Linked DNA regions of Nothobranchius furzeri. The protein of the gene in region 1 purifies or fractionates together with the protein of each later gene. This does not show direct contact. Links are inferred from orthologs where the notes say so. Each region holds a gene or a part of one and is shown in the gene's direction. Other genes may lie near its edges. The genes, in order: clns1a and gar1.

The links.
Region 2: the proteins of clns1a (region 1) and gar1 purify together in Homo sapiens (affinity purification with mass spectrometry; 3 studies listed by BioGRID and IntAct, counting the BioPlex papers as one, with this or other methods). This does not show direct contact. The link is inferred for Nothobranchius furzeri from reciprocal best matches to the Homo sapiens genes CLNS1A and GAR1.

The regions. Positions count from the first base shown.
Region 1 is NC_091753.1:60,558,825-60,575,309, forward strand, and holds the end of clns1a (methylosome subunit pICln), read left to right. Parts: intron 1-5,402; coding exon 5,403-5,513; intron 5,514-5,621; coding exon 5,622-5,627; intron 5,628-5,703; coding exon 5,704-5,877; intron 5,878-8,761; coding exon 8,762-8,828; intron 8,829-8,965; coding exon 8,966-8,966; 3' UTR 8,967-9,135; downstream 9,136-16,485. Other genes in the region: aqp11 (aquaporin-11), read right to left, coding at 13,779-13,879, 14,650-14,766, 15,071-15,665. UniProt on the Homo sapiens protein: Involved in both the assembly of spliceosomal snRNPs and the methylation of Sm proteins.
Region 2 is NC_091741.1:77,339,022-77,355,606, forward strand, and holds the start of gar1 (H/ACA ribonucleoprotein complex subunit 1), read left to right. Parts: upstream 1-13,617; 5' UTR 13,618-14,765; coding exon 14,766-15,000; intron 15,001-15,273; coding exon 15,274-15,428; intron 15,429-15,537; coding exon 15,538-15,597; intron 15,598-15,682; coding exon 15,683-15,806; intron 15,807-15,949; coding exon 15,950-16,075; intron 16,076-16,166; coding exon 16,167-16,177; 3' UTR 16,178-16,585. UniProt on the Homo sapiens protein: Required for ribosome biogenesis and telomere maintenance. Part of the H/ACA small nucleolar ribonucleoprotein (H/ACA snoRNP) complex, which catalyzes pseudouridylation of rRNA.

The DNA.
Region 1 (16,485 bases):
TTCGATCTGGAGGAGCAGCGGTTCTACTTCGAGTCCCTCCCGAATGTCCGAGCTCCTCACCCTATCTCTAAGGCTGAGCCCGGCCACCCTACGGAGGAAACTCATTTCGGCCGCTTGGATCTGCGATCTCGTTCTTTCGGTCATTACCCAAAGCTCATGACCATAGGTGAGGATTGGGACGTAGATCGACCGGTAAATTGAGAGCCTGGCTTTCTGGCTCAGCTCCCTCTTCACCACAACAGATCGGCTCAGCGTCCGCATCACTGCAGATGCTGAACCAATCCGCCTGTCGATCTCCCGATCCCTCCTACCCTCACTCGTGAACAAGACCCCGAGATACTTAAACTCCTCCACTTGAGGTAGGACCTCTCCCCCGACCCGGAGTTGGCAAGCCGCCCTTTTCCGGTCGAGAACCATGGTCTCAGATTTGGAGGTGCTGATCCTCATCCCACTCGGCCGCGAACCTACCCAGCAAGAGCTGAAGGTCAGAGCTGGATGAAGCTAGGAGGACCACATCATCCGCAAAAAGCAGAGACGAGATTTTCCTGCCACCAAACTCGACACACTCCACACCACGGCTGCACCTAGAAATTCTGTCCATAAAGGTAATGAACAGAACCGGTGACAAAGGGCAGCCCTGGCGGAGTCCAACCCTCACCGGGAACAGGTCCGGCTTACCACCGGCTATGTGGACCAAACTCACGCTCCTCTGGTAAAGGGACTGAATGGCCCTTAACAGAAAGCCACCCACCCCATACTCCTGGAGCGTCCCCCACAGGGTGCCCCTGGGGACACGGTCATAAGCCTTCTCCAAATCCACAAAACTCTTGTGGATTGGTTGAGCAAACTCCTATGCCCCCTCCATCACCCTTGCAAGGGTATAGAGCTGGTCCACAGTTCCACGGCCAGGACGAAAACCACATTGCTCCTCCTCAATCTGAGATTCAACTATCGATCGGACCCTCCTCTCCAGTACCTTGGAGTAGACCTTTCCAGGGAGGCTGAGGAGTGTGATCCCCCTATAGTTGGAACACACCCTCAGGTCACCCTTCTTAAAGATGGGGACCACCACCCCGGTCTGCCACTCCACAGGAACTGCCCCCGATGACCACGCAATGTTGCAGAGACGTATCAACCATGACAGCCCTACAACATCCATAGCCTTGAGATACCCAGGACAAACCTCATTCGCCCCCGGGGCTCCGCCGCTGTGTAGTTGTTTGACTACCTCAGCAACTTCTGCCCCCGAGATTGGACAGTCCATCCCCAGGTCTCCCGGCTCTGGTTCTTCCTCGGAATGCGCATAGGTGGGTTTGAGGAGCTCCTCAAAGTATTCCTTCCACCACCCGACTATAGCCCCATTGACGTCAGCAGCTCCCCATCCCCACTGTAAACAGTGTGAGTGAGTTGCTGCCTTCCTATCCTGAGGCGCCGGACAGTTTGCCAGAACCTCTTTGGAGCCGATAGATGGTCTTTCTCCATGGCCTCACCAAACTCCTCCCACGCCCGAGATTTTGCTTCGGCAACTGCCACTGCTGCACCCCGTTTGGCTATCCGGTACCTGTCTGCTGCCTCCGGAGACCCACAGACCAGCCACGCCCTGTAGGCCTCCTCCTTCCGCCTGACGGCTCCCCGAACCTCTGGTGTCCACCAGCGGGTACAGGGGTTGCCACCACGACTGGCACCGGCCACCTTGCGACCACAGCTAGCAACAGCCGCCTCAACAATCGCAGAGTGGAACAAGGCCCACTCGGAGTCAATGTCCCCCACTGCTCTCGGGACGCGGTCAAAGCTCTGCCGGAGGTGGGAGTTGAAGACCGTCTTAACAGGTTCTTCTGCCAGGCGTTCCCAGCAGACCCTCACTATGCGTTTGGGTCTGCCAGGTCTACGCGGCATTTTCCTCTGCCATCTGATCCAACTCACCACCAGGTGGGGATCAGTTGACAGCTCCGCTCCTCTCTTCACTCGGGTGTCCAAAACATACGGCCGCAGGTCATATGATACAACTACAAAGTCTGTCATCGACCTGTGACCTAGGCTGCCCTGGTACCAAGTGTACCGATGGGCATCCTTATGTTCGAACATGGTGTTCGTTATGGCCAAACTGCGGCTTGCACAGAAGTCCAATAACGAAACACCACTTGAGTTCAGATCAGGCGGGCCGTTCCTCCCAATCGCACCCCTCCAGGTCATGCTGTCATTGCCCACGTGAGCATTGAAGTCCCCCAGCAGGACAATGGAGTCCCCTGATGGAGCACTATCTAGCACACGTCCCAGGGACTCCAAAAAGGGTGGGTACTCTGAACTGACATTTGGCCCATAAGCACAAACAGTCAGGACCCGTTTCCCGACCCGAAGGCGCAGGGAAGCTACCCTCTCGTCCCCCGGGGTAAACCCCAACACACAGGCAGAGAGTCTTGGGGCTAACAAAAAGCCAACCCCAGCCCTCCACCTCTCACCTGGAGCAACTCCAGCAAAGGAGAGTATCCAACCCCTCTCAAGGACTTGGGTTCCAGAGCCAATGCTATGTGTCGAGGTGAGTCCGACTATATCTAGCCGGTACCGCTCAACCTCTGCCGTAAGCTCCTGCTCCTTCCCTGCCAGCGAGGTGACGTTCCATGTCCCAAAAACCAGTATTCTTGTCCGGGGATCGGACCGCCAAGGCTCCCGCCTTGGTCTGCCACCCGATCCACATTGCACCGGACCCTTCATGTTCCTCCTGCGGGTGGTGGGTCCACAGTTGGATGAGCCCATGTATCCGGTTCGGGTTGGGCCCGGCCGGGCCCCATGGGCGAAAGCCCGGCCACCAGGCGCTCGCTCATGGGCCCCAACCCCAGGCCTGGCTCCAAGGTGGGACCCGGGTAACCCTCCGGGCCGGGTACTCAGACTCTTTGAATTTACATCCATGAAAGATCCTGTTTACCGTAAATCCTCTAATACAGGCCCGGGCCTGTATTTGACTCAAGCTCATCAAGCTCCAGGCCTTTATTGGAAGGAGGACCAGAATTAGAGGCAGGCCTCTATTTCTATTTGAGCAAAATGAACTAATGGTTCGCTGGAGTTTTTGACGATTAAAAATGCGCCCACATTTTCAAAGTTAAACGCATTTCTTTTAACAACGGTAGTTTCTGCTTCAGCCCCCCCCCCCCTCCCCCTGCGCAGCGGCAGCAAACTCACTGATGCGCCTGCAGCCTCTCGGAGTTCCTGCTGCTCTAAACATTAAAATAATTATTTCATTTTCTGTTCCTCACTTCTGATTACCTTCAATGGTGTCTGTTTGTTGCAACCAGCAGGTACAAAACTAACTTGTTTTTATTTGACTATTTTTCTGTCCTGCCTGTTTATTATCTTCCTGCATCTCCTCTCAATCCTAAAGAGAAACTGCTACCTGGGTTCATATATATTCACCTCATGAGTTACCTTTGAACTGCAGTTCTAAAAGATCTACTGACCGCTAAAACAGCGGAGTGCTCGCCGGCCTCATCGGTGAGGTCCGTCACCGAGGACAAAACAGGTGATGCGCCCCGATCCACAGCAGCGAAACGCATCAGGCACAAATAAAAGAATAAAAGACAGAAAACCTAAAAGGAAATGAGCCAACATGAACGATCGCGTGTTAAATTAGTTTTTGAGGTGGCGACACCTGATTTGATAATGTTACTGTGGCCGTGCTCAGGACGCAGATGTCTGGAGCGCGTCAACAATCAGAGCTTTGCATGCGCACGCTGGTTAAGGTTAGGATGGGGGTGAGGGGAAGGTTAAATTGCAAGAGGGTAAAGGTCACAATTTGGTTAAATGTCCGTTTTACGGCGGGTGTCGGTACCGACGCTCTGGCACAGCGCGTTGCCTCCCGACGCGCAGGAGCTTGTCACCTGCTGACAGCAGGCTGCTGTCTTTTCCGAGGGCTGCATCTTGCCGGTCCTTATCACGTGACAGCGACTAGTCGATGACAGGCATAACAAGTCACTATAGAGCGGTGAAGTCGACTAGTGACTAGTTCATACAACCCCTGCTACTGCTCCCCAGAGTGTTCTGCAGCATAATCAGCACGTTCTCTTTGAACTTGATATCAAATTTTCGCCTCCTCTTCGTCTCCGCACGGTTAAAGTTACCCTCGCGGTCTATCACTGGCAAATCAGAAGTGAGACGGATGACACAACCGCCCCCCGTACTTGCTTGTTACCACATTCCACCCGGCCACAATAAGAGACCGGCCATTATTCACCTCCGCCGACTCCGACACCGGCCAAAATATTAGACCCGGCAGTTAATTAAATACAGGCTAATATTAGAGGATTTACGGTATTTAGTTTCTAAAGCTCAATTTGAAGTTGTTGTTTAAAGAAAACTCATTCAAGTAAATAAATAAATAAAATAAGATGGCAGCAGACAAACGAGGTTCAGCTTCGACAAGCATGAAAGTTGTTGCTGGTCAAGGAAAAGAGGTCCACAGTACCGTCTGACCTCTGATGAGGAACCTGCTGATGCTGCTTTGGTTGTATGGACTTTAGCACAGAGAGGGAACGCCTGGGGTTCCCTTAAGCAGACACGGGGTTGCAGGACATGAGGAAGGTCCTTACGACACTTAAAATCAATAAAATACAAGTGGTCGCGGACCCACATGAACTAGGTCCTAGCTTGTGCCATTTGTTTCATGAACCTTTAGGGCTACAAAAGGTGCCCAGAATGTGGAAGGATGCAGTTGTCCCTATTCCTAAACCGATCAATGACGTGAGCTCCTGGTCACTGCTCAAGGAGACGATAGGACCATAATGACCATGCTTTACCACTCCTATTGTTGTCATGGTTTGACTAAGCAAATCTGAAACAAGTCATCACTTGATGAGATGGTTAAGTGGCCAGGTCGTCTGCTTGCTAGGCCACAGACCAGTGTATGAGCCAGGTGAAGAGGATTGCTTCTGCACCCCCTGCAGAGCCGCTTTGTGCTTCTGCCCTCTGGTCGCAGGTTTCTGGTGCATAGGTGCCGGACTAAAGGGTACGAATCTAGTTGTGCTCCAGCTGCTGTGACCATCGTCAACAATCCGTAACTTGTCACGCAGTTTTAGGACTCGGGTATTTTATTAACGACATGTAATGTTATTTTATTGTGATGCACAAAGTTAAAAAACATTTTTATATGTTTAGTTAAAGGAGCGCTTCTGTGGTTTTGATGGTGGCCCTCTTGTGCCCTCTGGTGGCTAAATATATATTACACCCCTGCACAGCAGAAGAACGAGAGCTCAGCTGGAAGTTAACTGGGCAAAACTAAATGGTCTGCAGTTGTACGGCGCCATCTTGGGGTCTACAACCCCCCAAGGTGCTTGACAACATCTGGAGCCAGCTGTGATGGTGGCTGGTAAAAAGGAACGTGCCCTAACCCTGGTCCTTGGTTCTCCTCACAGTGGAGTCCATGTTCTCAGCCATGTGCGAGTGCCAGGCCCTGCACCCGGACCCAGAAGACGACGAATCTGATAACGACTTTGAGGGGGAGGAGTACGACGTGGAGGAGGCCGGTGGGTAACTGCCATTAGGAACGACTCACGATATTCAACCCTCAACTCATTCTGTTCTTTTTCTCTGGACACGTTTGGTTTTTCTCCTCGTGGACCTGACATCTGCAGAAGCAGGTGAACATCCAGATCTTACACACACTCTGAAAATATAAACTGTTTACCCACTGCTGCTGTTTCTGTACCCGGTTAGAGCACGGCCACGCCGACATACCCACCTTCTACACGTGTGACGAGGGTTTATCGGCGCTGACACAAGAGGGTCAAGCCACGCTGGAGAGGCTGGAGGGGATGCTGGCCCAGTCCGTGGCTCAGCAGTACCACATGGCTGGAGTCAGAACCGAAGAAACCAAGGCGGAGTTCGATGGTTTGTCAGCTTTCATTTTTCTGATGGATTCTTATTAGAAGTCCTTTTGTGACTAGTAGAAGATCCCAGATGGAAGCATCATCATAAGAGTTGAAGTAGAAAACAGCCAATCATCAGAAAGGGTTCATGTGTGGGAGGGTGCTCTACAGGTGCGGCTTACAGCGGTCTGCTCGTGCGTTTAGGGTAAAAACAAGTTTATTTGAGGTGATGATTTAGATGAATGTCATTTAAAACTGAAGGAAAGTTCATTATTCAGCTGTTTTACTTTGGTAAATGCTTTATTTATATAGTACCCTCTAGGGTTCTACCACCCCCACGGGTACTTTGGTGCTAGTGGCGGCATCTGGGGAAGGCTGGCAGCTATTTCCACCAGAAAGCGCGTCGTTTTCTCTGTTAACAGGCGTGAGCCGCCATTGTTCTCTCGGCGCGCCGTCACGTGATGACATCACATTCATAATCTTTATGGAACGTTTCTAAAATTTGGACTAGGGTTGTCATGGTAACCGGTGTAGCGGTAAACCCCGGTAAAAAAGTTGATAATAATAATAACCGTCTTGTTTTTAAAAAAACTATATCATCTCGGTGGATTACCGTGGCTGCGGCGTAGGCGCGGTGACCCTTACCAGCCACCGTACCATCTGCTGAAGTTGCCGGCGGCACATGCGCACTTTGTTGTTTACAACCAAAACTTTCTTGAAGCTAAAGCTGGAATAATGGTCAAAGGAGGAGACGGCAGCGCTCAGGACATTTATTATCCCTCAAAGAAGACAAAGTGGGAAGTACGGGCATGTTTTGGATATATGAAGAATGCCGAGGGACAGCTGATAGAAGACGGCTATCCTGTTTGCAGCACGTGCAGAAAAAGTGTCTGTGAAAGGCAGCAACGCTTCAATCTCATGACACATCTGCGTGACCATCACCCACAACTCTACAGTCAACGCAAGGCAAGCTAACGTTAGCGTTTTAGCTAAAATGCGTGATCCGAGGATTTGGGTTGAGGGAGAACGCAACGAGTCGCTATATAAAGCAGCCGCAGCGCCGCTACCTGCATGTAAACCGTGTCGCGGACACCCCCATGTTGAAATGACGCTATGCATTACGGGGCTCCCAGGGGCAGATAAGAGTTGGTCTCTCTCCCAGAATAATTATGAATTTAACAACGATTACTGCCTGATGACATTTTCCCACATCTGCAAAGCTCACTGGAAGGACCAGTACCTCATAAAACACACACACACACACACACACACACACACACACACACACACACACACACACACACGCTGTCTGCTCTCCTCCCATTGAGCAGCTGTGGCGAGAGCTCTGTGCAGAGATGTTGGCTGCTCAGAGGACACACACCGCTCTCTCGTTTCCCGCTCACCCGAACCCAATCAGTCCGTAGTATCACCTTGTCCCAGTCGGACTTCTGAGGAAGAGGTCTGAAAAAGTTGCCTGGTCCGGTACTGACCCTGGCCTGTAACCCAGTTCTGGTCCGGTACTGACCCTGGCGTGTAACCCAGTTCTGGTCCGGTACTGACCCTGGCGTGTAACCCAGTTCTGGTCCGGTACTGACCCTGGCCTGTAACCCAGTTCTGGTCCGGTACTGACCCTGGCCTGTAACCCAGTTCTGGTCCGGTACTGACCCTGGCGTGTAACCCAGTTCTGGTCCGGTACTGACCCTGGCCTGTAACCCAGTTCTGGTCCGGTACTGACCCTGGCCTGTAACCCAGTTCTGGTCCGGTACTGACCCTGGCCTGTAACCCAGTTCTGGTCCGGTACTGACCCTGGCCTGTAACCCAGTTCTGGTCCGGTACTGACCCTGGCCTGTAACCCAGTTCTGGTCCGGTACTGACCCTGGAACGCGGGTCTGCTGGTGGCAGGAGGACGTCAGTTGTAGCAGAGCCCTTCCAGCCAATCAGATAAGAGAAAGGCGGGGCCTCCCTAGAGGGTCTCACTTTTCCGTACACAGGTGCCCCCAACAGCGGGGTCAAGTGTCTTGCCCAAGGACACCACAGCTGATGGACTGAGCAGGACTTGGACCTGCAACCCTCCGGTTCTGCTGCGGGGACTCGGTCCTCCGCCACCGTCGCGTTTGTTTTTACTGAAGCATCCGTAAAAGAAACCCGTCTGACCTCTGAAGCGGTGCTTTTACCTGCGATGACCAGCAGCTCCATGGACCGGACCTGTCTCCGCAGCGACGAGTCCGGGACACACACCTGGGTGTTCAGCCAGACTCTGCAGGTGGATTCTGTTGTTCGTGCGGTTTTTACCGCAGGAGTTGGGAACTGTGGCCGAGGCGTTTATGACCTCCAGGTCTCTGCTTGCTGGCCTGAGCCGGTCCTTACTGACCCGGCTGCAGCTGCTCCAGAAAGCTGCTGCTCTGGACTGGTTACCAGTGAACCCCTGTCCTAAGATCCGGTCTCTGTCTGGAACAAGCCCACCTATAGCCTCACTGCTGACCCGCTATGTTTCTGCATGATCGCCACGTTCGGGTCAGAGCGACCTCCCAGTGGTTCTGCAGCCACAGCCCAAGTCCAGAGGTGATCGTGCCTTAGAGGTTCTGGTTCCTCGGCTTTGGAACCAAGACCCCCCAGAAATGAAACGGTCCCCATCGCTGCGCTCGTGTAGAGCCAGGCTGAAGGTCCATCTCGGGTCTGGTTCTGGTTCTGGTTCTTAGCTGTTGCTCTCGTGTTTTAATGTTTTAAATGTTGAATTTCAGCCTTTTACTGTGTTGTCGTTGTTCAGCACCTGGGGTCCCCGTGAAGGGGCAGGAGTAACGGTTTCTGCTGCTCGGATCAGCGGCGCTGTGTGTGAACACTAACGTGTGTGTGTGTGTGTGTGTGTGTGTGTGTGTGTGTGTGTGTGTGTGTGTGTGTTGTCCCAGATGGGATGGAGGTGGATGCTGCAGCGATGGAGGCGGGGCAGTTTGAGGATGCAGATGTGGATCACTGGTGAGTTCATCACCTCCAGCACCTTTCAGGTCCATGTTTGACGTTTGGAGTCATGCCCACCACGTGTCACTGCGAGGCCCGGTGCAGGTGGGATCTGAAGTCACCTGTCATGACGGTTATGATTTAACTTCCTGCAGACGGATCTCGTCCAGCCAGAGGAAGCAGCGGTGGGATTAACGAGGACAGCAGCTCTAATCTCCACCTCCCCGATCCATGTGATGCTGTTGCTCTAAAGACCAACTTAGTGGTTCCTGCTGGAGGAACGTGTTTGTAAAAGTGTCAATAAACAAGATTGTTTTGTATTTCATGAACGGACTGTTGGATCTCCTTAAATAGTTGATATGTCGAGCCTGAAGAAGCTAGCACCACCTCGTTCCTGATGGGCTGAACGTCACATTCAGCTGTTTGACCTTCACTAACCCAAACCATCCACCAGGGTGGGCGTGTCGTTCCATCTGGAGTCAGTCCCACACAGACCCCCCCCACCAATCCTGGGAGTTTAGGAAGCCAGCAAGGAAGTGGCTAAAACTGCAGTTCCTGCCTCATCCACTAGGTGCTGGCAGCAGTGTGTTAGAAAAGCTGAAATAAGCATGTTTACAGCTGGTTCAGAACCATTCTGGGTCTGGGTCAGGGTTCTGAGCAGCGTGCTGGTGGAGGTTCTCGGCCGGCCCGGTCCCGGTTATCCAAAAGGGTTCAAATGAAGGCAGCTGGACTTCTTTGGTTTCATGAATGGTAAATGGCCTGTGTTTAATATAGCGCCTTCTAGAGTCCTGGAACCCCCCAAGGAGCTTTACATCACAGTCAGTCATTCACTCATTCACACACTGGTGGTGATGAGCTACGATGTAGCCACAGCTGCCCTGGGGCGCCCTGACAGGCGAGGCTGCTGAGCGCAGGTGCCACCGGTCCCTCCGACCACCAGCAGCAGCAGGTGATGGAGGTTAGGTGTGTGGCCCAGCAGAGCGGCGTTTTGTCCATGACTGTTGAAGTGAGTCAGACGCAGGGATAGCTCCAAAGAGGAGAAGAAACTACACCAAACATGTTGCCTTCCCAAGAAGCCTCCAAGATCTACCATGACATTTACACGCACAACTCCCGAGCCATCAGGGTGATGTGGGCCATCGTCAATATGGTGTTCGTCCAACCCTGCTGGATCGGCGAACGACGCGGACCGGCTACTTCGGCCTCTTCCACTCCTGCGTGAGTGAGGAGCCCAGAGCCGGCAGCCAGGAACCACTGCGCTGGCTGCTTCGCCGACTTCAGCTCCGTCCTGTCTGGAGGCTTCAAAGTGGCCTCGGCGTTCGTGCTGCTGTCCATGGTGCTGATCCTCAGCTGCATCGCCTGCATGGTGCTCTTCTGCAACATCTCCACTGTTTACCAGACTCGTGCCTGGATGCAGCTATTGTGCGGTAGGACACACTCATTTCTCTCATTTTCTATCATCCCTCTCAATCTATATCTATCGGGGCTCGAACCTGCAACCTTCTGATTAAGGGGCGAGCACCTGACTCCTGTTTCACCGTCGCCCAAGACAATTCACTTCTCATCTGAGGAGCTTTGTCAGTCCTGACTGGAATATGGGAGAGTCGCGCTCATAAGCTGCAGCTGTCTGTTATTAAACCAGCAGAAACTACTCTGAATACCCCTCCTCTCCATCCCATGATGAGTCATTAGCATCTACTGAGAGGAAGTCGTTGTGCTGACTAGACACAGGAAGGTGTGAGCTAGACTGAAGCTGCTCAGGAATGGGATCCAAGCTGCATTATAGGTACTAGAAAGGTGAAATCTAAGCCCCGCCCCTATTTAAGTGGGTTTTTCACGTTTGACATAGATGGCTTCTTTTACTCCTCTCTCTCCATCTCTCTTCTCTGTCCAGCATGTGTCCTTGTGCTTCAGGTGCAGGTGGACCGCAGAGTCCTGACCTGAAGAGGTGGCTCTCCTGTGTCGTGCCATGCTCGTGTGTAGTTGTTGTTTAGTTTCCCCGATGGAAACATCTGGACAGTCCTCGCTACACTGGACTGCATAAACCACACCACCGAGCTTCTGTTTGGGTTCTGGGTGGACCAGGTTCTGTCTGAGGGTGTTGTTGGGTTAAAGTTTACTGGGATGTCGTGTTTGGAGAAGATTCTTCTAGGTTTCTCTGGGACTCCTGCCACGTGTGGGATGGTGGTTGTCCTTTTCTTTGCTGGTTGCTGCTTTGGATGCTTTTCCGGACTAGATTTGACAAAGGCCCAGGTCGGGTATCTGAAGTTCTGGAGAGCTTGTGTTTTCCTTCAGTCTTTGTGGGAACGTTCTCGGCCCGATGGTGTAAAGTGCTGATGACTGACAGCTTGTGCATCGGGGGTGATGCGAGTCCAGATGCAGATACTGGTCTGTGTGCGTTCAGATGGACATTCAGGACCAGTGGGTGAAAAACCCACACAGACGGATGCTCCATGTCACTGGCCTGTATTTATCGGGCCTTCTAGAGCCCTGGAACCCCCCAAGGTGCTTTACAGTTTGTTACTCCTCGGATGAGAAGCGAAACGTCTTCAAGAAACCAAAGTCCAGTTGCTTCATTTGAACCCTTTGAATCCTGAAGGTGAACATCTGACCTTTGACCTCAAACAGGCAAATCAGTAAAGGGTAGAAGAAGAAAATATCGTTTCTATAGCGCCTCTCAAGATAAAAACCACGAGGCGCTTCACAAGAACAAAACATGTAAAAATATAAAAAAGAATTTAGAAAATGTTTAAAAATATATTTAAAATGAGCAAAAATAGACAATTGTGATTAAAAATGTTAAGAAAGAGAGAGAGTGAACAGGAAAGAGGGAAACCAGCTGTGAGCCAACAGCAGCTCACTAGTATTTACTCAGGCCATGTTAAATACGCAGGTGTGATGTAAAAGAGCAGCAGTAGACCAATGATTGGGAATCACATCTGAGGGTCATGACCTCAGCAGCAGCACAGGTCCAGATTTAACAGCCAATCAAAGCTGGCAGAAGCTGTAGGTAGCATAATCGTAGAGAAGTTGTTCTGCAAATATTTCACCCGTAAAATCCGACTTCAGTCTACAACGGTGAGACTCTAGAGGCACGAGTTACATCATCTGCATGTGGTGCAAGATCCTGGTTCTGGTCTATAGGGCCTTACATGGACAAGCACCATCTTACATTGGTGATCTTCTTAGTCCCTACACCCCCAGCAGGTCCCTGAGGTCCAGTGTGCAGCACCAGGCTAAAGGTCAAAGGTGACAGATCATCTGCTGCTGCGGCCCCCAGACTCTGGACCTCTCTCCCCCTGAGCCTGAGATCAGTGGACTCAGTGGTCTCCTTTAAACTCACCTGTTCAGGCTCAGGTGGGACCGTCATCACCTCCCTCTCCTTGCTCCACCTTTCCTTATATTATTATTTTTTATCACATCAACATATTTTAAATCTCTTTATGTATCATTTTGTAGTCGCGCGCCTCGTGATGTCTACCTTGAGACGCTGTGTAAGGATTGTTTCCTGTCTTCAGGGTTTTAGCTCCCAGGCTGTTCTCTATGCAGCCCTTTGTTCCTTCAGTCGTGTTTTTAACACATAAAATAATCTGGATTGAAAGACCTTTATGCCAGACTTGGGTTTATTGTTTTAAAGGGGTAACCCAAACCCATCTGCAGCATTCGACACGATCGATCATGACATTTTGATCACAAGACTTCACACTTGGGCTGGCATTTCAGGCACTGCCCTGGATTGGTTTAGGTCATACTTTTGTAACAGGTCTGCTAGGGTCATGTTGGACGGCTGTTCATCCGAGTCACAGCCTCTACGTTGGGGTGTCCCACAAGGTTCAATTCTCAGCCCGTTACTGTTCAACCTCTATATACCGCCCTTAGGAGCCATTTTCAGAAAGCACGCTGTCTCATACCATCTTTACGCTGACGACTGTCAAATCTACTTTTCATTTAAGCCAACTCAATCAATGAAAGTTCTGTCTGATTGTATCCTTGAGGTCAAGCAATGGCTAGCTGACAACTTCCTCCATCTTATTGACTCCAAAACTGACTTAATCGTTTTCAGTCCTTACAGTACCACGGCTACTCATCAACCTGACCTCAGCTATCTCTCACCTAATGTATCCTCTGTAATCTCCAACCTTGGAGTAAAAATGGACCAGGCTCTGAAGATGGATGCTCTCCACTGGTTGCCCGTGCAGTTCAGGATAAACTTCAAAATTTTGCTTCTCACTTACAAATCCTTGAACCATCAAGCTCCTCCATATCTGTGTGAACTTGTCCATTACTACAACCCGCCGCGTGCTCTCAGGTCTGAAGATAAGCTCCTCCTAGCTGTTCCCAATGCACGTTTAAAAAGCCGTGGAGAGAGGGCTTTCTCTGTCTGTGCACCGAAGCTGTGGAACGCATTACCACTGTTAGTGAGGCTAGCACCAACAGCTAGCATTTTTAAATCACGCCTGAAAACTCACTACTTCAACCTAGCTTATACAACATAATTATGAACCTCACTGACATCTGCACTGTTTAAAAATGGACTTTACAATTATCGACTTCCGTATTATTGAGGTTCTTTGTAAAATGTTTTTCCTATTTTTACTTCACCCTGTGTCTTAATGATTTTTAGCTGTTATTTTTGGGAATTTTGTTGTATTTCCTTTTTATCTTTTATCTGTGTTCGACATGTTTGTATAACGCCGGTTTAATTAACCAACATTTTTAGTGTACAGCGCCTTGTTTGGTTGTAATGCCTTGTGAATGCGCTTTATAAATAAAATTGGATTGGATTGGAAATAGAAGAAAATATTTGAAAGTCACGAGAATAAAAATAGAAACAAATAAGTCCTACAGGATCCAGACAGACGTAGATCAGAGTTCGATGGACTGTTTGTGCTGCAGCTGGAAAATCCCCATGATGATGTCATCAACAGCCTGTTGGAGCAGCTGATGGCTCTGGGTGGAACGCCACGCTCACGTCCTCTTCTTGGGTTGCAGTGGCAGGTAAAGAGACTGTGCTGCAGGTGAGAACACCTGGCTGAGTTGATCAGACAGCAGCACCGAGGCCAGCGTACCTGCATGGACCAGAACAGGAGAGTTTAAATAGGTGATCCCTGTAAGGCAGCGTGGTTTGCTGCTTTATCTTGTATGCTTCATGTTCGTCAGCGACTTCTCCTGGTTTAGGCCCGTGTGGGCTCAGATGGAAGGTAGAACCGCCAGAGTCAACATGAGCTTTGATTATTATGTTCAGTTATTAGGACAATCAGGTGAACATCAACTATTAACCTGGAGACTCGCCTTTACTCTCTTGGGCTAGGCTAACCCTAACACCCGAGCCTTTCAGAGGTACAACTCATCAGTGGGAGCAGGGGCGGATTTAGCAATTTGGGGGCCCAAGGCGAACACAGACACGGCCCCCTTTCACTCAGTTTTCAACAATCTTACCTTTAACTGGATTTGTGAAACTCTCCCCTTCTGACACGAGTTACTTTCCATCTTTATTAGTCCTCCTCTAGTTTCCGGTCTGTCTCTCCCTTTGAGTGCGTTCTCCTTCCTGTCAGCGCTCCTGTGCTTTTGCCTTTCTTCTTTCTATTTTGGTCTGTTTTCCTCCCGTTACACATTTTCCTTTGTCCTTCCTTTCAGCTTCCTTTTGATTACATAGAAAACAACGTGACTTTCACAAGTGAAGATAAAAGCTTTTTAAAGCGAGCTGCTGCTTTCTCTTATTGACCCACGAGGATAACTCCATGTCATGCTTCGTGTTTTGATGACCGCTTCGAGTTTGTTACAAGTTACAAGTTTATTCCTACTGTAGGAATCAGAAAAGAACTGAAGTCTCTCCTACCCAGAACCGGGCCGAGCCAGAACACCACACAGTTCTCCAGAAAGGAGGTTCCACTGCAGAGGAACTGGGTGGAGAAGGCCAAGGCGGGGTTGGACACGGCTCCTGTCACGCTGCCACCTAAACACACACACACACACACACACACACACACACACACACACACACACACACACGCACGCACGCACACGCACACACATTACCAGGCTTTTACCTGCAACATACCCCTCTCAGCAGAATCACCCACAATGCTTTGCAGCAACAACAAAAGTTCGAAAAGCAGAAAAGTTGCTGTTTGGGAGCTTGAATGAAAGTTTTAGTGAGGTCACTAGTTTATTCCTAAATGTTCTGGTTACTCCATAAACCAACAGCTGTTGCTACAGAAACACCTCCTGTAGCCTAGGTAACAGCAGCCCCACCGTACCTGCGGCAGCCACCGTGGTGATGATGGCCGCTACAGCGTGCACGCGGTATTTCTCCTGCAAAGCCTGCGTGTGCGTGACCACAGTCTGAACCGCAAAAGCGCACGCGAGCTCCGCCGCGGTGGCCTCCAGCAGGGTGGTGTGCACTTGGCTGATGCACCGGAAACCGAGCATCTTCTGTCGCACGTGCAGTCCCGACAGCCCCAGACACCACACCACCGGTAAGACCGCACGTGCCAGGATGGCAGCGGCGAACTGGCACGCAATCCGCCGCAGTGCGCAGCCACCTGAGAGTCTCGCGTGGTACACGCGCTCGATCAAGCCGCAGGGGTTACCGATGCCCCCCCTGAAAGTGAGCCCATGGACCACTGACGCCAGGTACGTCAAAGTGCGCGCGAGGTGAGGGTGGATCCCTCCCACCTCGGAAAGCAGCCTTAGCTCGTGCGAGCAGCAGCACAGCTGGAAGGTGCACGCGAGCTCCACCGCGTAGCCGGTGTCCGCGACAGCGGCGGTCCGGAGCAGCAACCAGAGGGTCACGTGGCTCAGCAACACGATCAGCACGAGCACCGACATGGACACCGCCAAGTCCGCATCCATGTCGGCGGATCTCCGGTCCTGAGGCTGGGGCTCACCGATGCTGCTCTGCCTCCTCTCCCGGACCGGTGGGCGACGGATCCATCCATCCTCCCGGTAGCTCACGTGGTGCGGAAGTGACACACACACACACACACACACACACACACACAATTCTAGTTTATTAGCCCCAAATCAGGACCTGAGTCGTCTCATCAAATGAAGGCCATTCACTCAGCCTGACGGGGAGAGAGAGGAGCTGCTCACCGATCATCTGTTAAACCAGCAGAGGAGGAACCGGATGATGGTCGAGCACCACACAGTCGAACAACACATCAGCATTTCTGTTGCCCCTTCCTGAGCTGTAATTGATCTCAAAATCAAAGGATGCCAACTGAGTGACCCAACTTGGCAGATGACAAGGGCTATTAGACATAAGCTTAACCTTTTTCCAAAGACGCTGGGGTGAGTAATCCAGCAGGGAGGCCAGGGTGCCCAAACAACGCAGCAATGCCCAAGGCCGGATTAACCATATGGGCATGGGCAATTGCCCAGGGCCCACGAACTCTAAAGGGCCCAGGGCATCAAGGGCACGAGCAAAATACTGTATCTGTAATCTCCCGCTTTATATTAAACTAGTGTGACTGTACGTCCTGTTTTCCCCGGACATGTCCACTTTTCACTCTCTGTCGGGGGGGGGTCTTCTTGTACTGATGTCCGGCTTTTCATCCAGGAGCAGAGATCGAATTATGGGGGAGTTAGATATCCTACACATCCAGGGGAGCCGGAAAAAAAGTTTTCTACATTACATCATTTATGGACTCTTCTGAGCAGAGAGCGCAGC
Region 2 (16,585 bases), on another chromosome or scaffold:
GAGAGAAGCAGGAAGATAATAAACAGACAGGACAGAAAAATAGTCAAATAAAAACAAGTTAGTTTTTGTACCTGGTGGTTGCAACAAACAGACACCATTGAAGGTAATCAGAAGTGAGGAACAGAAAATGAAATAATTATTTTAATGTTTAGAGCAGCAGGAACTCCGAGAGGCTGCAGGCGCATCAGTGAGTTTGTGGCTGCTGCGCAGGGGGAGGGGGGAGATGGCTGAAGCAGAAACTACCGTTGTTAAAAGAAATGTGTTTAACTTTGAAAATGTGGGCGCAATTTTGATTGTCAAAAACTCCAGCGAACCATTAGTTCATTTTGCTCAAATAGAAATTGAGGCCTGCCTCTAATACTGGCCCTCCTTCCAATAAAGGCCGGGAGCTTGATGAGCTTGAGTCAAATACAGGCCCGGGCCTGTATTAGAGGATTTACGGTAGACTTCTCACTATCATTATGTGAGTTTCATGGCTGTTGCCAGTTACGGATCAGTGCCCGAAGATTGTAGATGACAAACATGAGTCATTAGGGATGGCAAATTCTGTAATTTTAACAGCATTGACAAAATTCTGTGGCACCTACCGAGGATTTAGTTGTATTATATGAAATGGTGAATTGTTTCAGTACCTGTCCTCCATTAATGAGAACTTGCGAAACAGCGATTTGTCGTGATAGACAGCAGCGCATGCGCAAGAGTATAATGTCGTCAGTTGCTAGGAGGTGAACTGTAAATAGAGCAAACAGCATGGCAGAAAGCGCTTTAAAGTTTGGCTTCACTTCAAGGATTGGAGGAAGATGACAACATTGACAACACTCTAAGTGAGGCATCATCATCTTAATCTGCTCCAGCAGGTAAATAAACTGTTTAAGATAGTATTAGCTTGATATTTGAGTTTCTGTTAACATTAGCTAATGGTGCGTTCGCTTTCTTCTCAGAACTTGGAATTTCCGAGTTTCGAGAAGGAAAAATCAACTGTTTGAAGATGGCAAAAGGAATGAAGATGCATGGTAAATGTTGTTCTCAGCAAAGATGTTTGCTTCAGTTTAATTTGCAGACCAGAATAGTACAAGGACCCACCCATCACACAAATTGTCGAGAGGAGAGAGAAATAAGAGTACGCAGAGCTGAGTTTTAGTATATCTGGTGTTAGTATTCTTTGGTGTTTTATGTTAGGGAGCATTCACTACACGTATTATGGCAATATTTCTGCTGTCTTGCTGTTATATTTAAAGATAGATATGAATATGTAGATACCCCATTGGGCACTGGAGAGTGTAACAGTGTCACCGCCATATTGGATGGGTCTCACTCAAAAGTCAATGCAGAGTGGGCAACTATGGCCATTTTTGTGCAGCCTACGGTTGCAATAACCTGTGTACTATTGAAAACAGATCACATAGGATTACTATTGACTTTTCTAGGCTACCTTATATTTTCATTTAGTTTGTTAAATTACATGTATAATTTAATTATCATGACATACCATGTGTCTGATTTTGTGAAATAAGCTTGATTAAAGTGTGTTTTTTAGTTGTGTAAGCACCTTCCTCAGAGGAAATGAATGCACTGGGGGCAAATCTAAAATGGCTGCTGGCCACTACAGCAGCTCCATTAGGCAGAGCCAGTCCACGGGCCATCTACATAAATATGTCTCTGGTTATAGTTCTGAATGACTCATTAAAAGAAGTAAAACGCCACAATTGACTCATCATTCACTCCCCACATACATTTTACTGGAATGTCAAGTTGTTGGTTATTGAACAACTTTCTTTGGATAATTTTAGAGCTAAATGGTAGATGGCCTGTATTTGATATAGCGCCTTCTAGAGTCCTGGAACCCCTCAAGGCACTTTACAACACAATCAGTCATTCACCCATTCACACACACATTCACACACTGGTGGGGATGAGCTACAATGTAGCCACAGCTGCCCTGGGGTGCACTGACAGAGGCGAAGCTGCCGAGCACTGGCGCCACCGGTCCCTCTGACCACCACCAGCAGGCAACGTGGGTTGAGTGTCTTGCCCCAAGGACACAACGACAGCGACAGACTGGGCGGGGCTCGAACCTGCAGCCTTCCGATTACTGGGCGAGCACTTAACTCCTGTGCCACCGATTTTTTTTTTCTAGTTCACCTTTAGCATTGTTAGCTCACCGTTGGCTTTTAGCCTGCTTCTACCGATAATAGAGTAAAAAGAAAAAAAGATGCTGCAGAGTTAGCTTAGTGCAGACTCTGCAACCTCACAAACTCACTGAGTGTAAACAGTAACTTCGTCCCTTTTTGTGTTTTTTTAAGTGAGAAAACCGACCACCACCCAGTCGTCTGAGACAGCAGATCTGTTCAGTGTAACCTTCCCTCCAACAGGACTGAGACATTAAGCTGTTTTGTGATTATTTCACTATAGACTCCTTACATGTTCCTGCTCTAAGTACATGACATATTAGCATGCATCTTTTTAAAGCTCAATGCATTTTATTGCAGGTAAAATGTCCCCATTCTGTCACTTAAAATTTTATAACTTCTAATTATAATGCCTTGTCTTTTAATATATCAGTCAAACCTGCACAACTTTTATTTGACAATTTAATGTTAAAACAGGACACCCTACTTTACAAGATTTGCCACTGCTTGAGACAAAACTGTCCCTGAAAATGTTATGCCATCCTCAAATGAGGTTCAGTATATTCCACTACTGAGACAGAAGCTAAAGCTAACTGTGTCAAGGAAAGGCCGAGGATATCACAGCCAATGCCAGGCATTAGGCACATAATGGCTAGGATTTACTGATAAAACAGGGGCCTCACAGTGGCAGTTCTCAGGGACTTAAGTGGGTCGACTTGGGGTTGTAAACTACATGAATTCTGCGTTCTAGCTGTCAAACATGGTTTTGACTTTCATAAAATCTTTAGAAAATGAGGGTTTTAATGTTTGACGTGTTGCAGTGGAACTATGGACTATGAAATACTACTGAAATATTTATTTCACCAGAAAGATGCACAAACAGATGAAATGTTCCAGTCAAGAGGTCTAGTTCTAACATTTGTGAAAGTGGCTCAGGGTTTAGGAGTTTGCCCTGTAGTCAGTGGGTTGCCGATTAAAACCCAGGGCTCCTTCAGTGTCAGTTGAGTCCTTGGGCAAGACACTTCACCCTACTTGGTGGTTGGAGGGACCGGTGGCACAGATTGTGTAGCAGCCTTTCCGCTGTCTGTGTGTCACATGGCAGCTGTGGTAACGTTGTAGCTCATCACCACCATCAGTGTGTGAATGACCGAACTGTACATTTTTTTAGAGTCCCTGGCTTAGAAATGTGCATTATTATTACTATTATTATTATTAATATAAAAAATTGAACTGGAACATTTCTTAAGTGAAATGCTATGATTAGAATTAACACTACTATGCACTGGATAGAAAAAGAAAACCTGAAAAAGAATTACTCAAATGAACAAATACCTTCACATTTATTTAAAAATCCAATCTTGATATTACTTTCCAGCAAATACACGTCCCTCCACATGTTTGCTTTCCACTACACAGTTACTTTTGCTTATGAAAAAAAAACAAAATGTAAAAGCAAAGGCTAGCATCTGGGAAATCTACTCAAACATAAAATAGTTAGACTGATTCTTCGGTCTGACGCAGGAAATTCTTGCATTGGACAGAAGTTTTTCTGAGGATGCAGAACATCGGCTGAAGGCAAGTAGACCAGTTCTGATTCACTAGTCATAAGAACAGCTAAGATTGTTTTCTTTTGTTAAGGTTTGGCCTCAGGTAAACACCACCAACTATAAACCCTACAACATCTTATTAAAAAATAAGGTGGTTCATGCTAGAAACCCCTCAAATAAAGCTGAATTACAACAATTCTGCAAAGATGAGAGGGCCAAAATTCCTCCAGAGCACTGTAAAAGTTATCGCAAACGCTTGATTGCAGTTATTGCTGCTAAGGGAGGCCCAACCAGGTATTAGGTTCAGGGGGCAATTACTTTTTCACACAGGGCAATGTAGGTTTGGATTTTGTTCTCTCCCTAAATAATAAAAACCATCATTTCAAAACTGCATTTTGTGTTTACTTGTGTTATCTTTGACTAATGGTTAAACATGTTTGATGATCAGAAACATTTTGTGTGACAAACATGCAAAAGAATAAAAAAGGGGCAAATAGTTTTTCACACCACTGTACCATGTGTTGGTTGTGGTCAGAGGGGCCGACGGCGCATAGCAGCCTCGCCTCTGTTAGACTGCCCCAGGGCGGCTGTGGCTACAAAGTAGCTTACTATCACTAGCAGTGTGTCAATGTGAGTGTGTGAAAGTGTCTTTGAGTGTCCTGAAAAGCACCATATAAGTTTAATGCATCATTATTATTATTTCCTATGTGTAAAAGAGTCATCGTGAACAAACACCAGCATTGAAACATATCAAGTATCATTATTCAGTTTTCTAAACCCTTTTATCTTTCCAACAATAACTTCAGACAAACTGGACATTAACATGAAACATGAAGAGACAGACAATCGAGCCCTAAAAAGCGTGCAGTCCAGTGGTTTTAACTCAGACAGCATGTCCTCCACGTATCAGTTGCACAATGCTGTGACAACTCCGGAGGATACTGGGATCAAAAAGTAAAAAAAAGAGGGTAGTAGACTTGGAGTCATCACTTTGGATAGTTTTCCCAAAGATTAGAAAGACGTTCAGACACATGTACCCAAGAAAGCCTTATAAATCTGTGAGCTAGTCCAGCATTTACAGACGACGGTACCCAGCCTCACCAACACCTGTTAAAACTCGTCTTCCTCTCGCTTTTGATCTCTCATCTCCTCCTGCTACTTTGTTATCATCATGGCTCTCCTTCCCTCTCTCTAAAGTTTGAATTATTTTCCCCAAATGTATAAAGAGTTGTTCTAAGTTGTGCAGTTTGTGATTAATGGTGCAGGCAGAGGAGACCAACCAAAGACAAGAGGACAAATCTGTTTTCCACTTTAGAAGAAGATGGAAAATCCGGATCGCTGCCAAAGGTATTCATTTGATCCGAACAACACTTCAATAAAACAAATTCCTTGGACAGCTATTTTTGGTTCTTTACAGACGCAATCCCCAAACAACCCTTTGTCTTCTGACCTGACAGCCTGCAACTGTTTTGCTAACCGCTCTTGATGACTCTCCCTTTTTAAATCGATACGTAATATTACCAAGGACGAAACGCGGTAAGCCTGACCACATGAAGCAGATATTTCTCCACGGCTGATTTGGTGCCAGAGTTTTTTAGCCCAACTTCTCAGACAAGATAGTCTGAAGCAGAATCAGTGTCACTGGAACTGCCAAGTACGACAGATGTAGGGAGAATTAGCCCTGTGGAGATGAGGCAGTTTATAAATTTGAAGTCTAAAGAACATTTTATGTTTTTAATTCAGGTTTTCATCAAAGCTTTGAGCAAAAAATAGGAGACATCAACATTTAACCCAGATAAAATAGCAATCTCTACACAGAACAAAAAGACGTTGATTTGGTTAGATGCTCTTGTTCACACAACAGAATCTTGTGTGTGATGTAAAAGTGCCACCTAGTGGTGAATGTGGGAATTAGCTGCAAAGAAAAAGTTTTACTTTCTTAAAAACGCATGAATGGTAAAGACAAATAAGAAATGTTTCCTTTTTTATCCAGTGATGAAAGCAAGTAAATTCTTCATGTCTTTGGTTTATCTTCTTCACAGTCCTGAAGACTGATAGAGCGGATGCTGAGAAAAGGAGAAAAAACAAAACAACTAAAAAATAGTGATTAAACAATTCCTTTAACTAAATAAATTCATTTATTTGAATAATAAAGTTGTTAGATCTTTTTAAAACTAACATTGATCAGTCCCAGCATTACAAACAAAGCATCCTTTCAGTAGAAATACTCTAAACAGTCATGAACCAGCTTAGAAAAACATCTTTAGATGAATACACAACACACAGAATAACAAATACAGTGCATCGAAATAGCCATAATATTATGACTATGTGGCAGTGTGAGCGTCCTGTCACAGTGACCCGATTGATCATGCGCCCTGGCTACTTGGCCACGGGGATGTCCCTTTGGCTGACTGGTTAGCGCGTGTGATTCTCACCCGGGAGTCTGGGGATCGAATCCTGCCTGCGCCCTCGCTTCTCCACCTTGCCACAACTATATGCATGTTATGAAAGGTGTCCATATTTTGCAGCTAAAACAGCCTTAAGGTGTGATGTGGGATTTGACACGAAGACATTCTGCTAATAACTAAATAAAGCCACTGCGGTGTTGTTCTTGACCAAACGGAGATCAGGACAGCCTTGAAGTAAACTCAACACTTTGAACTCTTGTTATGTTCCTCAAACCATTTTTGAACCACATTTCCTACCTTAGTCTGATACATCTATCCCTGAAAATGGTGGCTGAGAACAAGCAGTACCTTTTACCCGTGAAGCTCCACCCCTAAACTCTTTTCCCCGAGTGCATCCTTGTGCGGTCAGCAACAATTTTTAAATGATCTTGCTACCTAAAGAAATAAAAACTTATCTTCTCAAGGTAAATAGCACAGACCCTGATGTCCACATAATGTTGAGAAAAGGACTGTGCAAGAACTAAAGTTGTGAAAATGCCATCGCCCAGCTGTTTGGACGATTATCATGCTTGCTCAAATGTTGTTTCAATAAATCCACGTTAAAGACTAGATTGCTTTCCGATTTCCTCCCAGTAGAAGGAGCCATTTTAAAGATGATCAATTATAATAGTGGGTGTTCATAATGTTTTGGACGATCATTTTATATGCCCAATAGTTTCTAAAACTAGTGTTTTCCTAAGAATTTATTCCACTACTTTCCTGTTTTTACACACTGAAGCACTTCCTTTTTATATTATGTAGAAATGAAGTAAAAATGACACCATGTGGTAAAATTTGGTTACTGCACCCATTTTAAACAACTCAAGCTTTTTGCCGGCTGTCGTCAAATTAAAAATGTCGGCGCTGCAGTATTAGCCCGCAGGAGACACGGCACCCCCACACTCTGATGGCAAACAGTAGTAACGTCCCTTTTTCCTTTGTTTTGAAAGGAGAAAAACTGACAATCCCCACAGCCAGCTGGATATGAAATATGTTTCAGTATAACCTTCCTTTCTTAAATGACAGAAAAATTTGACTCTATTGGGAGTCACTGTAAAATTCTCTCTATATTCTTACATACTGCACCTTTAAAAAGTCAGACTGTGACAAACTGTACTTAATGGCTGAGGAAGTGAGGGTACTGGACACTTTGACATTGTTGTTTTCAGATTTTTACTAATATCCTTACTTTGGACCTAATCTGACGTGTAAGAAAAGCACCATAAAATAATTTTTGCATTATGTAAATTCAAAAACAAACATATTTTGTGGCCTGCCAGGACTATAACTTGACAATTTTGGCCCTCATCCTAAACAATTAGGACACCCTTGGATTAGAGGGATCTACAAACAAGCACATAGAAATAAAAAAGTCAACTAAAACTGAGAGACATAAATGACGACACCTTTCACCATTCTCCAGGGGGTTAAAGGCCGTGTTGATCTCATTCAGCGGCTGCGTGTGGGTGATAAACTCATCCAGCTTCAACTTTTTACTCATGTAGTCATCCACAATTTTCGGCACACCCAACACACTCTTCCAGCCTTCAGAAGACAATGACAATAACAAGGTGGTGATCACGTTTAGTTCAGAGAAACCACTCTGGGTCATTCAGAACTACATTTTAGATGAATATTTAAAACCATAACTCACCAGATCCTACAGGAAACCCTCAAACACAGTTATTTTGTGTTTAAACAACTTAAGGAGAACTTTGATTCTCTTAGTCTTATACTCATCCAGCTCTGCTCCTGGATTACGACCAACAGCTGCTTTATGGTGAACCATTGAACTTGTTTCCAGCTTACCTCCAAAATACGTCCCCTTCAAGGTGCGTCCCATCAGGATCTTTATGACTGGGACACTCATCGTTTCAGTCTCCATCCGCCCGGCGATGACGCAGGTCCCACAGGCTTCAGCTGTGGACTCTAATGCTGCAATCTGAGAAAGCACAAGATGTTTGAGTTTAGTCTTCTTTATTTTCTTACATGTTGACGCAGATATTTAGAAAATAATCAATAATTTTAGAGAGCATTCAACCACTTTTATTTTTGCACAACTCATACCTGAACTACCTGTAACTTCCTGGCACACTCAGTCCGTAGCAACCTGCAGACTCTTGACTCTAGGTTTAATTAATCAGATAATTACAAATCCACCATGACGTCTGGCTTTCCGACACACTCCAGAGCAACGTCCACTCCTCCAGTTGTCTTCTCCACCAGAACCTCCTGGATGGATTTGCTTCCATTGTTCGGGCTGATGCACTCAGTGGCTCCAAACAGCCTGGCCTTCTCAAACTTCTGAGGGTTGGTGTCAACCCCGATGATCGTTTTCGCCATGGCATTCTTACAGCCTATAATGGCAGCCATTCCGACGGCTCCCAATCCAAACAAGGCACACTAGGAATCTTTTTCAACCTGAAAAAGAGAAGTAAAACAACCATTTTTTTCACTGATGAGGCATACAGTCACTGATACAAATTAATGGCTAGAGTTATTTGTCGATAGGTGTGCCGGTGTAAATCTGGGTGTAAAAGATAAAACCTGGATGTAGCTGTGGAGAGTGAAAGGTGCAGTTTTAATGCGTGTGAAAATGTTGTCCACCATATAAACCAAGTCAAATAGCCCAATTTAATTAGCGATGTGTTATTTATTGCATTTGTAACAAATATTAATTTGAAGCTCAACCACAATTTATAATTTTACTTTGCAATGATGCTCCTAGTCTCATGTTTCAGAGAATATGTTTTAAAAATGGATGCTGTACAAAGCTGAAGCCAAACTGTTAACAAAATGCCCAAAATATTTGCACATTTTTATCTGGAATTAAATTTAAGGCCAAAGTGTTACAGTGTTGACTGTGACTTTTTAAACACGCATGAAACCATTTATAATAAAAATAATCTGGTAAATTATTCATTTCTAAAATGGATGATATCTCGTGCGTATTTTATCATGTAGCAAACATCCGGTTAAAGGCAAAAACATCTAGTGCTATCTACTGGTGAGATCTACACCTTGAAAAGTGTATATATATATATATATATATATATATATATATATATATATATACACACACACACACACACACTAAGAAGATGACTTTCTGCAAAAAACAGCCACTTTAACATTAGAAAGTACATAAACTATAGAATGAACAAAGCTGTTTACTGGTTAGAGGCCCCTTACTTTGCCTGAATTGATAGCAGCACCATAACCGGTGCCTAACAAGCAGACTTTGCCCAGAGGTGCATCAGCTACTTTTGCCAGAGATGTGTCAGGAAGCACTGTGTACTGACAGAAGGAGTCAATACCGAGGAACTGATAGACCTACTGACCTTTGATGGAAATCCTGCTTGTGCCATCAGACATTACGCCCTTTTGTGCATTGTCCCTAGAAATCACATGATGTGCATTCAGACCAACACCCATGTGATGTTTGTGTTTCTAAACATGTGACAAAGATGATCTACCAGTTCTTCCTGCAAAAGTTTGTTTTTGAGCTCTGGCACCGATCACACTTTCCACAAAAAGGCAAGAAAAGAGGAATAACTATCTCCTGGCGACAAAACAGAAGGACAAAAATTGAAAGTTAGAACTCATCACAACTTTTGAGTTAACTGTACAGGCCATCATACCCGGTGAGAATGCATTCTCACCGGGTATGATGGCCTGTACAGGGTATATGGCCTGTACAGGGTATGATGGATCTCTGGACCAACACTCTCCACTACGCCCGCTGCCTCGTGGCCAAGAACTAAAGGGAATGATCTGAATTTCAGTCTTTTCCCAGTCTCATACAGGTATTCCCAGTCTGTGTGGCACAGTCCAGTAGCAAAAATATGTTGCATAAAGTAAAGAAAGGAAATAAATAAATCAGGAAATGATTCATCTTGCAGTTTGCATATGTGGATGTGAAAAATGTTCACATGCGTAATACTTTTCACTATCACACGCATAAAGTCATGATGTTTTATGAAAGTGCTGCTGAATTATGTCCTTGAGCTTAGGTGGAGCAACACTTCCTCGATAGACAAAGGCTTCTTCTGCTCCCAAGCAACAGCTGCTTTACACTTGATCACCTTTTGTAATATAAAATACACATTCATTCAGGTTTCAAATAAAATCACAAGACAAGGATCAACAAGCAGTCTAAACACGGTGAAAAATATCAAAAAATACTCACCTGTCCTGCCTTTGCCATAGCTGATTAATGGCTACTCAGTCTGCAGTCCACTAAAACATGAAGATATGTTTATATCCATTTATCTGTGAAGCGACTTTTGAGCTGTCCCACTTGCTGTTGCATCACATATCAACGATGCCTCCAAAAAGCGCTTTACTCATATAAATATTACCGTTGGGCAATTACGACACTTTCCGACTGTGGTAATCGGGTTTACGACAGTCTATGGTCACACGTGTTATTTGAGTGCGAAAAGGCTTCTTGTAGTCCAGGTAAATAAGTTCCTCTGTACTTTTGTCACATATGTTTAAAATGTTTAATTTAAAAGAAACTCAACAGATGTTGCGTTTTGTCCGTTAAAATAACTGAGCGTGTAAACGTCTTAATTGCGGTTTAAGCTAACGCGTTAGCATCTACATGCTATAATCCACGCCGTGAACTGCAATCACGTCTGTTCTCGGTTTTTAGTTTGGTATTAAGTTATGTAACCGTTTATAGAGGTTGCAGATATTTTTGAAATGGAATACAGTCTGGAAAATGATCGATTGCCGCTGTTAAAATGGTTTAAATCAAGGTTAAAACAACATTTGAAACGAGAACTTAGTTAAATAGCGGTGTCAGATTTGGTCCTCTAGGACCACCAACCTAGATGTTTTAGAGGTTTCTGCTTCAACAAACGTGGTTTTAATCGGCAAGTGATTAACGGGCCGATCCGAAGCCTCTGGGCAGGTGAACTAGGTATGTTGGAACAGAGAAACAACGAACATGCTGGACAGGGCCCTCCGTGACCAGACCAGGGTTGGAGCTAACGACACTGGAGCAAAGGGGTCTTGGATTAGTTTTGAATCAATCTCAAAACCATTTTAAATATAGAGAATATAGGATTTTAAACAGTCAATACATATCATTGGGAGACTGATCTTAAATTATATACATTTTAAGGAGGTTTATATCAAAGTGGAGTTTATTATGAAGCAATTTCAAGAAATGCTTACTACAAACACTGTCAAATTTTAAACATAAACAAAATAAAAAGAAAACAGTTTAAATATAAATAGAAAATATAGAGAAAAGCAAATGGCATCCAACACAATATAAAAAAAAGCAGCTCCTGGATAGAGTAAACTCAAGTTCTACATCTGGAACAGCTGGTGGGTTTTGGTTTGAAGACATGACACCATATAATACCGTTATCTGTCCGTGCAAGGGCACACCAGCACGCTCACAAGGATGGGACAGTCTAACCCACTTTTTAAACATCTTTTAGACAGAGAATACAGTCTTGTGATTGGTCAGAACTCCGCTTTCGTCAACAGCACTGCCATTGCGCCCTCAAAAATATAAAGAAGGCCAAAGATATCCAGCGGCACACAAGGAGCAGCTTGATGAATACCTCATGGAGGAACTCTATAAAAATATAAACGTTTTATTCACCCATGACTGGAGGAGTGAAAAGACACACAGCAAACGCTCTATTCGTGGACGAAAATTACAGAAAACGTGGGTTTAGAGGTGGCGAGCGCATGAAGAGGTGGGGGAGCATGAGGGACAAATTTGTCTGTCTTAAAAATTTTCTAAAATACAAACACTATTAACCCAATAGGAACAGGTCTATCTTGGACATTATACATGACAGTATACCCCAGAACTACGCCCTCTATTCCTGGAGGGGTAGCTTTGCAACACTCCCCAGAAGACGGACAAGTCGGAGATCAAAACATCTCTGTTAATTTGTGTGCTGATGCAAAAGCATAAACTAGGCTTTACAAGCAAGGCACTCATTCCTACTTGAGACCACTGCAAATGTATAAAAAATATGAGTAAAACTGACCTTAAACAAACTGGTTGAAAAAAAAGAAAAGAAATTGGTTTGGCCCAGGTGGGAATAAAGAGAAAAGGTGTGATAACTAGGGTTGTCACGGTATGAAAATTTAACCTCACGGTTATTGTGACCAAAATTATCACGGTTTTCGGTATTATCGCGGTATTTTTTAAACGGTGTTGCATATGTTCAGAAAGCATTGATAGTCCTGTTCTACACAAACTGAAATAGTTCTGTAAAGGTTTAACAATGTTTATTAAACCTAAAATAACACAAAGCCTTAGCAAAAGTGCAACTTTTCAGAAGTAAAGAACAAATAGCTTATTTTTCTGGAACATGTTACAGTAGTCAGTGCAGGTTTAAATTATACAAATCCAAACATTCGAAACATAAACAATATGTAAACAAATCAAAGAAACACCACTTGTTTTCTCATATACTTGTTTTCTTCATTATCAAAATGAAAATCTAAAACTCCAGTCCACACTTGACTTGAGCACTGTACAAGTCAACCTTAAAAAAATATGTATTTAAAATAAATAGCCACTTTAAACAAATTACTAAAATAACTACTACACTATGTAATCAAATCCAAATGTTCAAGTATAAATGGCATTGAATAAGTAAACAAATCAATGACAAGGAACTAACTGTATATTTCTCTTCATCATCAACAAATAAGATGCTTCATCCAGCAACAGGTGTCCGTGACACGGTTTAAATGCTGGCAGAGGACGCTGCGGCTGCAGTATATAGTGACTCGTTGCATTCTCCCTCAACCAAAAGTCCTCACGTCATGCATTTAAGCTAAAATGCTAATGTTAACTTACCTTGCACTGGCTGTAGAGACGTGGGTGATGGTCACGCAGATGTGCCATTCGATTCGAAGTGTTGCTGCCTTTTGCAGACACTTGTTTCCTGCACGTTCTGCAAACGGGATAGCAGTCTTCTATTAACTGTCCCTCAGCATTTTTCAGAAATCCAAAATATGCCCATACTTCCGATTTAGTCTTCTTTGACGGCTGATGGATGTCCTGGGCGCTGCCGTCTCCTCCTTCGGCCATTATTTCAGCTTCAAAGTTTTGGTGCCGTTGCAAACTAAAAAGTGCGTGTGCGCGCCGCGGGAACTTCAGCTGAAGCGACGGTGGCTGGTAAGGGTCACCGCGCCGAAACCGCGGCCACGGTAAACCCACCGAGATAATATAGTTTTTTAAAAACTGGACGGTTATTTTTATTGTCAACTTTTTTACCGGGGTTTACCGCTATACCGGTTACCGTGACAACCCTAGTGATAACACAAAAGTAAATTTCTAATTTTGATAAGAAAATAACGTTTGAATTAAACACTCAATGTGACTTTTAAACAACAGCGTTGGTCTTAAAGAGCAAGTTACCCCCTACCAGATTCTTACTCAACTCCCACTTCCTGTTTGAAAAATGCAACAAATGCTGTTGCCTAGCAGACCGAGAGGGCGGAGCCGCTAACAAATACACACACACACAGGCTCACAACGACATTGTGACATCGTATGGTACCAGCTAATCAATTCAATTTAAAAATACTTTATTAATCCCAGAGGGAAATTAGAGTTTCAGTACACACAATTCTGAGATCAGACATGCATACATGGACACATGACAAGAATTGGTGACTGTGGTCATTTGCAACCCGAGTCGCGCTATCGTAATAGATCAAGAGGGTTAATATGAGGATAGAGTCAGGGGGAGGGAAAAAAGGCACTTCAGTTACCCTCAACACAGAGGGCAGCTTTGCAATGCAAAAAAAAAAAACCACCTCAGACAGATATGCACAGACTTTAGACATTACACAACACAAGTGTCCACTAGGTGGGGAGGTAGGGTTGGGACTCTCCTCACTTCAGTGCGTGCAGCCACATGGAGCAGCATTCATCACCTCCGCTTGGACAGGAGAGGGAGATAATGGGTTAGAGGGCACATTTGACTCCTAGATACGGTTCCACAACCTTCACCGGTCACAGTCCCGCCCAGGCTGGGATAGGGAGAATGTTTCCATAGCGACGGGCCGGCAGCATTCCACATTTCTTCTGTGAGGGGAGTATTCACTTCAGCCTCACAGGCTCCAAGGGCACCAGATTCAGATAAAAATTGTTTTGGGGACAGACAGATGATTTCCTCTCTTCCTTAGTGTTCTGTTGGTCTTCAACCCCTCTAGATCCAGCATTGGCATAATTAATCTAATGTTCTAGGGTACCTCTTAGCCAATAGAGATTTGGCAGATTTAAGTTCAAATGCAGTGCAGAGTTTTTACCTGACAACGGCACAACACTGACAGTTTTAGGCAGAAAATTAAAATTTTAACTAAAATCCACAAAAGTGCAAAACTATTGACTACACGTGTCTGCAGACCGATTAGATATGCATTTATATAGTTTCTAAAAAAAAAAAGTTGATTTGGGGGTGACTTGCTCTTTAAGCTGAGGATTTTATGTGATCACCAAAAATCCCAGCGACTAGAATTTATTTAATAAAGAATTTGAATTTAGCTGAAGAAATGTGAAAGAAAGTTTAAAAATGACACGACACCAAGGATAGACAAAGCTGACCGTCTTCAGCGTAATCGTTCCACGGTTCTGTTTTACCTTGGTGATGAAAGGCTGTAAAATGACCCACCGTGTGTGTGTTTTCCTGACACCTTCATTTACAGACTTGAGAAGAATGTCTTTCAGAGGAGGAGGCGGGCGGGGAGGTGGGCGAGGTGGTGGGAGAGGGGGAGGTTTTAACCGAGGTGGTGGATTCAGAGGTGGTGGAGGATTCGGACGAGGAGGTGGAAGAGGTGGTTTTAACAGGCAGCAGGACTACGGTCCTCCAGAGTACGTCGTCGGTAAGTAGACTGTTGTTCCTATTTGGCAGATTGAAGCAACATTCACACTGCATGTCTTAACGCTCCATTCCATTTTTGTTTGTGTGGTTGTTGAAATTGTGCCTCAAATGTGACACCAACACTCTTCAGTGTGAACGTAGCCTGTTTTCTTATAAAGCCTGTATCCACGGCTCAACAGACCAGTCAGAAAATGACTGGATTAGACTGCAGTTTGAATTTTAAAGGTATGTTTTTTTGTTTTCTGAAACTCATCGTTGTGTTTCTACTCCACAGCTGTTGGAGAATTCATGCATCCCTGTGAGGATGATATTGTATGCAAGTGTACAACAGAAGAAAGCAAAGTTCCCTATTTCAATGCCCCGGTGTACTTGGAAAACAAAGAGCAGATTGGAAAAGTGGATGAGATATTCGGCCAGCTCAGGGACTTTGTATCCTTTCTTGTGTGTTTTTTTGAGTCATCTGTGTAAAATGATTAAAACACTATTGGTTTTTTTTAAGCTTCCTGATAATTAAATTCCCTAACTAATGTGTGCGCAGTATTTTTCTGTAAAATTGTCTGAAAATTTGAAGGCATCGTCGTTCAAGAAAATGCAGAAGGTAACTGATGAGAACAAGAACGTTTTCAGATACTGAACTCGGATACTTCTGCAGGTTGTGATATTTGTTAAAATTGGGTTTTCAGTTTTACATAGACCCGATGAAGCTACTCCCATTGCAAAGATTCCTGCCTCGGCCCCCAGGAGAGAAAGGCCCGCCAAGAGGAGGAAGGGGAGGCGGCAGAGGTGGAGGAAGAGGCGGTCGTGGAGGTGAGTCATTTCAGATGTTTAGTCCTTTTTGGTCTTTTGCTTTAAAGTTTTTTAGGATGGTTTTTGTTTCTACTAAACCAATTTCCGGTTATTTGAACAGCTTGTAAAAGTGGTGTGATTTTTTTTGTTGTTGTTAATTTCAGGTGGTTTCCGGGGTGGCAGGGGTGGAGGATTTGGAGGTGGGCGTGGTGGGGGGTTTGGAGGTGGACGTGGTGGTGGTGGTGGAGGAGGTTTCAGGGGAAGAGGAGGTGGAGGACGTGGATTCAGAGGTTGGAGCATTGTTATTGTTACCGATTTCTAGTTTTCATTTTATCATCTGGTGTTAATTGTTGTCACGTGGTTTATTTTTGTAACTTACAGGAGGAAGATGATCGGATGCTGTTGGGTCTGCTGTCAACATGTCATCCTTGTCTGTGACATATCCAGAGCAGACTTTTCAACTTCTTGATGACCATGAGTGGGTTTCTTTTGTATTAATGTTTTTAATGGTGTATTTTTTTTCTGTTTATGGTTATTTTTATTTAAAAGGTTCATACGAAATGTGTGGATGGGACCTTTTCTGTTGTTTTGGAGCATTTTAAATACGATTGTAGACAAACAAAAATATTTTACACCTGCAATGTAGTCTTGTTCATCAGGATTCCAGGAAACAAACTTCTGTAGTAATTTCCTTCTTTGAGAAGTCAGACTTATTCAGTGTTGGCAACAAGCATTTTATTACTGAAATTGTAATAACATCTGAAAAAATATTGTATTTTTTGTAAAGTAATCAATTAAAT